Linked DNA regions of Caenorhabditis elegans. The protein of the gene in region 2 purifies or fractionates together with the protein of the main gene of each other region. This does not show direct contact. Each region holds a gene or a part of one and is shown on either strand. Other genes may lie near its edges. The genes, in order: cysl-1 and cth-2.

Region 1 (4,357 bases), on a different chromosome or scaffold from region 2:
CCGCTTTTTAATTTATTTATCAACCTTGGTAGGTCTCCACAATCCAGTTTTGTTCTTTTCTTTTTATCGTTTGTGTTTTATATCTTTTTGCAAAAGATATAGAGATAAATGCATGCTCGACAGTATAATTCTTATATTCAACGTTTCTGGACGACGTGGGAATTTTCCCATGCTACTGATGAAGTCTGAAGTGCATAGAAGAAATAGCACGAGTGACCTTTTGCTTTCTGGACATTATTGCATGCAAACTACTACTTTTTGCTTACTTCACACTATTTCGACACTACTATTATTGGTTTTCTCAATCATCAAATGTGTTTTCAAAGAATTTTGAAACATATCCAGATAGAAACTGTAAAAAGGTCTAATGCTCTTTAAGAACTGCCGTTTTAAAATGATCAAAGTTTACTTTTTGAAGTAAATTCTGAAAACGCCTCGCGATATCGTGTAATTTGATCGTTTGTTCATTATATTTTTTATTAAGAAAACTCCCCATCACCTCCTATTTCATCCTTCTCGGAGTTTTCTTAGAAGAAAAAGAAAATGGAAAAAGCGTGTGAATGTTTCTATTAGATGACAGGAGATCCATTTTTTACATCCTTCAATTTTTGCAACAAGATTCCACTTCAAAGAATGAAATGTTTCATTAATAAGTGCAGTTTCAAAAGATCAAAATAATACCAGCCGGTTAGTTGTTGCATTTGCTATTTTTACAAAACAAGAACACTAAGTATATATCGAAACGTGCAAGTACTTTTCATTGGTTTAATCCGGTGAGTGGGGCGTTTTCGTGTTTTGTTTAACTCATGACTCATAAAGGTTATTCAGGATAAACTATTCCTAATTACCTATAATAGATGTACATGTAAATGCTTTTCCATGTTTGGAGTTTATCGTGCTTGATCTAGAAAATAACAATTTTTTGAAATAACTCTGTCTGAGTTCCTAAAAAGTTTAATTTATACTTTCGGGAAAAATACGAAGTGGTTTACCTTTTATCATCAAAAATGTCCCAGTTTCTAATAAATGGATATCATCTCTTCTTTTCCCATTGTAAATTTTCCAGCTCACCGACATTTGCATAATGCAATTATGTCATACTGAGCGGTTATTGTTGTTTTATTATCTTATCGTGGATTCATTCTCTCCTTACTTGCTCACTTCATTTTTATAAATCTGTCTCGTTGCAGCTGCTCTATAAGATACAACAACGGGATATTCTTCTATCTCTTGCTCGTTGTGTTGCGTGTTCTGTTTGTTTCCTCATTGCTTCCTTAGAATGTTCATTCAATGGCTCATTAGATGTGTGCCAACCTTTAAGAAATGCCAGCTGATTGTGCATTCGTTCCGCTACACAACATGTACTTAGACATGTGTCGTCTATCTCTCCCTATCTTATAACATTTTCTTTATCTCCTTATCTCCTTCTGTTTAAAAGTCCAACTATCATTTGGAGTTTGGTGTCAAAACCAGCAGAAACAGATGATAGAAAAATATTTTGTTTCCGTGCCAATAGTCATTGATAGTTTAAAATATTTCTTTCCTGTGATATAGTTTTCCCTTTTCTGCGTTCTCTCGTTATTGTCTACACTCTCATTTAACTCATAGTCGATGTTTCAGATGGCTGATCGCAACTCTATTGGCGAAAATGCTGCCGCGCTTATTGGCAACACACCCATGGTGTACATCAATAAATTGACAAAAGGACTTCCAGGGACAGTTGGTTGGTTTATTCATTTGAATTAAACGAAATCTTAAAAAATGTTTTGAACAATACTGGTGAAACTTTGAATTTTTTTGTTTCTTTTATGCAATACCACTGTAACCGAGTTTTGTAACTTCTCAACAAAATATAACTTTGACAAATAGTCTCACTTAAAAGAAAGTACGAAAAATAGTAAAACCAGAACGTAGATAAAATTGAATTTTACAAATCAAAAATGTTTTGAATTTTCAAGAAGAAACAAAAGTCCAATTATCCTATTATAATTTTCAAGTTTACAGCTGTAAAAATCGAATACATGAATCCAGCGGGATCGGTCAAAGATCGTATTGGAGCGGCAATGCTTGCAGCGGCCGAAAAAGATGGAACGGTGCTTCATCAACAATACCATTGTTCAAAAAATTGCATTAAAATTTTTTAAGGTGATCCCGGGAGTGACCACGCTCATTGAGCCAACATCAGGAAACACTGGAATCGCATTGGCTTTTGTTGCTGCCGCCAAGGGGTATAGATGTATTGTCACAATGCCAGCATCTATGAGTGGAGAACGCGTGAGTATTGATCTTATGGATGCAAATCTTCACCCCAGGAATTGCCAGTACTGAAACCTTTTTTTTTAGCTATTGAGTACAGTTGTGTCATCTGTGATTTTAAACAAATCTCCGGGTTGAAAATTTTTTAACATATAAAATATATATCTTACAGAGAACTCTTCTCAAAGCATATGGATCCGAGGTGGTCTTGACAGACCCAGCGAAAGGAATGAAAGGAGCGATTGACATGGCTAACCAGCTGAAGGAAAACATTCCAGGGTCTATCATTCTTGCTCAATTTGACAACCCAAATAATCCACTTGTTCACTATCAAACAACTGGACCAGAAATTTGGAGACAAACCAAAGGGACAGTAGACGCTGTTGTTTTTGGGGTTGGAACTGGTGGAACAATTACCGGAGTTGGCAGATACTTGCAAGAGCAGAATCCAGGTGTCCGCGTGTTTGCTGTGGAGCCAGAAGAATCCGCTATACTCAGCGGCAGACCAGCCGGTCCACACAAAATTCAAGGCATTGGAGCAGGGTTTGCTCCAGCTGTTTTGGACACAAAGATCTATGAAGACGTAATTCGAATTCATTCCGATGAGGCTATTGTCATGGCTCAAAGACTTTCCTATGAAGAAGGTCTTCTTGGCGGTAGGTTGTGTGACTGTGTTTGCTTTGATAGTTTGAAAGAAGTATGTTTTTAAAATTCTATATTTTAGGAATTTCCTCCGGAGCTAATGTTGCAGCTGCACTTCAGTTGGCTGCTCGCCCAGAAATGGCTGGAAAGCTCATTGTGACTTGTTTGCCAAGCTGTGGAGAACGATACATGTAAGATGACTGACTTAAAATGTTACTTGTGATGTGAGCTAGTAGTTTGCATCTGATTCCTCGGATGTTGAGTATTTCTGATAGAAAGTTAAACAACTATTGAATCTTTAACGTAGTAATCATGTACAATTTACTGTGATTGATCTTAAAAACCATTTTTCCAGGACCTCTCCTTTGTACACCGACATCCGCGAAAGCGCTATGGCTCTGGCAGTCGAAAGCTTGGAGGCAAACTTGAAGAAGTTATGTCTTCACAACTATGATATTATGGAGTGATTTAAATCAAAAATTCATCTCACTTTTTTCTTTTTTCTTTCATTTAAATTCTTTCACCCAAAAATTATCAAGGTTGTTACTCACTAAAAATGATAAATCGGCTGGTAATTCAATCAAAAAACCTACACATTATAATAATTTGCATTCTTTCGTATTTTTTCCATGTAAATGTTCCGCTGTCTATTTTTTCAATAAATGCAATTAGTGTTTTGTACTGTGATCTAAGATAGCTTGTATGCTTTGAACCCGCAGACACTAAGATTGGTGTTGAACTGACGAAACTGGGAGGATAACCGACTTTTTTAAAAACAATTAAACCATTAGCACAGTGAGGCATGAAATAGGCTTGTCGATGTCTCATGAAAAGGTCAGTGCAGATAGAAACACTGACCCTAATAAGGAGGAATGAAACCTGGTTTGGCTAATCGCCAGAAAAATTCTTTCACCGATAGTGGTGGCCAACGAGACAAACGCTGCATGTGGTTTCAAGCGAGAAGTTCAATTTAATTAGTAGTATGGATATTTAACGCGATCTTTATCAAATCGGAAAACTATACCACGGAGGTCTGGTTTGATGGTTTCACTATGAAATTATTTGAGCGGAAAGTTCACAGTTTTCTAGCTGACTCCTTTGAACATGTTCAGTTGAATTGACATAAACTTAAATGGTTCACGTACCCATCTTTTTGGAAAAGAGTAATGGAAAAGTTCTAGTAGCATATTTGCGAAATTAAAACAATCCTAATAAGGGCTACTGAATGATATTTCTGGTAATTTAAAAAGTTGAGAGCAACTGTATAAACCTTAAAAACAAACACTGGCATAGCGCAAATATTGTAGGAGGCAAGTCGTAAAAAGGGTTTCCTGTGATACTACAGTTTTACCACTACAAATTTTTTTCAAAAATTATTTTTCTTTGATGGTACTCACTGTTTGAATAGGGGATTGTTTGAAAGAAAACTACTTCTTAGAATTCAATTGTGATTGTATAA
Region 2 (4,210 bases):
TTTACACCTTTGGTGAAAATTATTAATCTAGTTAGTTAATCTAGTTAATCTAAAATTATGGGTACTTATACATTTAAAAAATTAATTTTTCATTCAAGTAGCAAATTGGTAAAACCTGCTTTCTGATCACAAGCAATAAAATGTAAACCTACTGGTAGCAACTCTACCTATTTCTAAATCTAGAAGAAAATGCAATTGATCAATAAATTGAAACTTTCGCTTTCTTTTTCCTCCTCCTCCAAATTCAAGACTTCCTGCAAATGAAATGTCGTCTCAAATCTTATCTTTTCCACGCCAAGGTTGCCAATTAAAAAACACGTCACAATTATCATCATTTCTATGTATTCAATCCCTATCTGCCTCTTCCAAATGATATTTTGAACTTGAACTCTCTCCTTCTGGTGCCCTTTGTCCAACTGCTCGAGACACACATGTGGCTGGTTTGCAGTAGACACAACGAGAGAATGAGACAAATTCTTCTCTCTTTTTGATAACGAAAAAATGATACGAGACATAGAGAAATCGATGCTTTGAGGATTTGATTTCATCGACATGTTTCTCAAACAAAATACCACATGGTAGACCTCCACGTGGGGTGATTGGCACTGGAATTTGAACTTTTTGAAAAAAAAAACTGTAACATGTGATAAATATTATATCAACTAAACGAAGGAACAAAATAAACATTAAGATAGTGTTCAAACTGCACAATTACGTGATTTCAGTTAATTTAAAATTCCTTCAAGACTTTGGAAACTCTAATAGTAAGTCACGTCAAACTGTGTTATCTTTTGTTTCAAGATCGTCATTAGTAAATACATTTATGATTACTGACTTTCATAGTTTGTAAAAAAAAATAATTGCAGCAAGAACTCTTTGTGAACTTGAGCTGATACATTGTCATGATACTGTTGGCCTACTGTAGTTTGTATGCAGAGCCAGTGGAGATTTTCAAAAAAACTCATCTTATGGTGCTAAAATATAGAAATTTTTATACATCCTTAAATGTTTTCGGAAATTTCTATTATTTATACAACGTTGTAATTACTTAAGTTAGTTCTCTTCTATCCTTTTGGAAGTCGATCAAAATAACATTTTCCACGATTTTTAAGTTTTTACTATAAAAACAAATATTAGTAGGGAGGGATAGGGTCGGGGTACTGTAGGATTAATGTATTTTTGTAGAAACCTCTGTTTCTATTAAAATGTTTCTATTACTAGTATTAGGCCAATTCATGTTAAAAATTAAGATTCTGGTTCGTAGAATGTGACTTGACATTATACAATTCAAATTCCGAACTTTTCAAAAAATACTATAGAATTTACAAATATTCAGCTGTTCACGAAAAAACCATATTTGAGCAATAAAAATTGTTTTTAACCAACATATAAAAACACCACAGAATCCCCAGAAATGTCAAATTTATTACCAAACTTGTGCCAAATACATATTATTTTTTGAAGTATGAAAAATACGCCACCTATCAGTCGTTAATCTTATCTTTTATTTTTCAAATTTCTCAATTTCCCACGCTTCTTCTCATATCCGGTTTTTTCTGCAAAATGGTCTCGTTTGGAGATTTGATAAGAGTGTTTATTCCAGATGTGTACATCATTCAATAGTATCAAACATTGTTCATTCCTTCTTTGCACATCACTATTTATTTTTCTTCTTTTCTTCCGTTTTTAACATCTTGTTTGCCTAATCAGCTACATTCTGTAAAATCTAAAAATAATAGAAGATTAACGTCTTTTTGACCAATGTCAAGAACGTTTTTTTCTTTAACGATTTCATTGAAACTTTCGGCGTGTCGACCGACCCTTCGTTTGACCCCGCCCCTTTCATTCGTTCTTTTTTCTTTTCTCTCCTCTTTCTCTCACACTTATAAATCCATTTGATTATCATTTCTCGACATCAGTCTTCTTATTGCAGCCTGTCTCAAGATTAAAATGGCTACTTTCCCACACTTCGGAACTGCTGCTATCCACGTTGGACAAGAACCAGAGCAATGGGATATGAATCAGGTTTGTCATAGGTATTCTGAATATAAATACTGAACTGATACTTTTCAGGTGGTCCCGCCAATCAGCTTGTCCTCGACCTACAAACAGGATAATCCAGGAGAGCCAAAGGGACACGATTATTCTCGTGCTGGAAACCCAACTCGTGATGTTCTTCAAAAGAATCTGGCTGCTCTCGAAGACGCAAAACACTGCCAAGTGTTCTCTTCAGGACTTGCCGCAACTTCCGCAATCATCAATCTTCTCAAGTACGGAGATCATATTGTGTGCTCTGATGATGTCTACGGAGGTACTCAAAGATATATCCGCCGTGTTGCTGTTCCTAATCACGGATTGGAAGTCGATTCGGTTGATTTGACGGATGTTCAGAATCTCGAGAAAGCAATCAAACCAAATACCAAGATGGTTTGGTTTGAATCTCCATCTAACCCACTTTTGAAGGTTGTTGATATTGCCGCAGTGGTCCAAACTGCAAAGAAAGCCAATCCAGAAATTGTTGTAGTTGTTGATAATACCTTCATGTCTCCATACTTCCAACGCCCAATTTCTCTTGGAGCGGATGTTGTCGTTCATTCAATTACCAAGTATATTAATGGACATTCTGATGTTGTTATGGGTGCTGTTATCACTGATAATGACGAGTTCCAACAACATCTTTTCTTCATGCAACTTGGTTAGTTTACTGTGCTGTTGTACGCAGTGAAATCTAGTCGTATAATTTTGTCATTTTGAGGCATAGATACGGTAACCGGTCTTGAAGCTAGTGAAACTTGGCAGCTACTGTATTCGCAAGTGCTTCGAATTTTTTCTTAACGGTTTTCACTGAATTTCAATATTAATTTCTTCGTGTTTTTCTAGAAAAGAAATCAGTTTCTCTGCTTTAGAAATCATATAAAATACATTGGAACTATAAAAAAAATTGCTAAATACTTGTGGGTACTGTAGAAGCAAAGTTTCGCTCATATCGAGAACATGTACCTTGAGTCAAATGTCGCAAAATTATAAAACTGTTTAAAATCTCATTGGATAGCTAAATTAATCGTTAACTCAAAATTTTAATGCTATTATTTTCAGCCGTCGGAGCAGTCCCATCTCCATTTGATTGCTTCCTTGTTAATCGTGGACTCAAAACTCTTCACATCAGAATGAGAGCTCACTATGAAAATGCTCTTGCTGTTGCCAAATACCTTGAAGCCAATGATCGTATCGAATCAGTTCTCTATCCAGCTCTTCCATCTCATCCACAACATGAAGTTCATGAGAAACAAACAAAGGGAATGTCTGGAATGATCTCATTCTATCTTAAAGGAGAACTTCAAGAGAGTCGTGCTTTCCTTTCTGCTCTCAAAGTATTCACTTTGGCTGAATCTCTTGGAGGATATGAATCACTTGCCGAGCTTCCATCTATCATGACTCATGCTTCAGTGCCTGCTGAAACTCGAATTGTTCTTGGAATCACTGATAACCTTATCCGTATCTCTGTTGGAATTGAAGATCTCGATGATTTGGTTGCTGATTTGGATCAAGCTTTGAAGATTGCCATTCCAAAAGTATAACTTTTCAATCATTTTATGATATGCATTTGTTTCAAATCTGAAAGCCGGTACTAGTTTTAATTGCCCACTCGTCTCCACCACAACCTCTAACTAATCGACTCAAATTGTGTCTTACACTATCCAATAAATTTTTTCTATGAAAAATGATAATTGTTATTCGAAACAGAAATTGGAATACATAACATGATATTTTGCAATTGGTATATGAAAGAAAGGTACACATTGAATTATAATTAGATAGCGTAGAAGGAATCATAGAGAGATCATTTAAGTTTGAATGTCATAATTTTCATCTTCTTCTGTCAATCTTCTGGGGATGGTACTCTTCTTTTCCGACTCGACGATCCCGTTGTCTGTGTTTCTTTCTCTTTCTGCTCTCTTATCTGAAAGCTATGAACAAAAATAAGCAATATCTATTGTTTCAAAATTACCTCGCGCACTTCAGCCATGATATACTCGGGAAGTTCGTAATCGGTGACACTATTAAACTCGCTTGGATACGATTCATTTTCTTCACAGAATCTCAGACCGAACCATTTTTTGAGCTTATCTTCGATCATTTCAAGTGAAGGACGACACAAGTATTTAGGCGGATATGAAGTTCGTTCTGGGCGTCCTCCCATCAAGAGGTC

Evidence for each region.
Region 1: the proteins of cth-2 (region 2) and cysl-1 fractionate together in Caenorhabditis elegans (co-fractionation; one large-scale study listed by BioGRID). This does not show direct contact.

Annotation. Positions count from the first base shown.
Region 1 is NC_003284.9:9,951,797-9,956,153, reverse strand, and holds cysl-1 (Cysteine synthase 1), read left to right. Parts: upstream 1-1,620; coding exon 1,621-1,723; intron 1,724-2,004; coding exon 2,005-2,093; intron 2,094-2,145; coding exon 2,146-2,274; intron 2,275-2,428; coding exon 2,429-2,912; intron 2,913-2,980; coding exon 2,981-3,089; intron 3,090-3,253; coding exon 3,254-3,365; 3' UTR 3,366-3,575; downstream 3,576-4,357.
Region 2 is NC_003280.10:7,055,684-7,059,893, reverse strand, and holds cth-2 (Putative cystathionine gamma-lyase 2), read left to right. Parts: upstream 1-1,933; 5' UTR 1,934-1,950; coding exon 1,951-2,025; intron 2,026-2,073; coding exon 2,074-2,695; intron 2,696-3,096; coding exon 3,097-3,578; 3' UTR 3,579-3,710; downstream 3,711-4,210. Other genes in the region: ZK1127.3 (EAF7 family protein), read right to left, coding at 3,846-3,968, 4,010-4,210.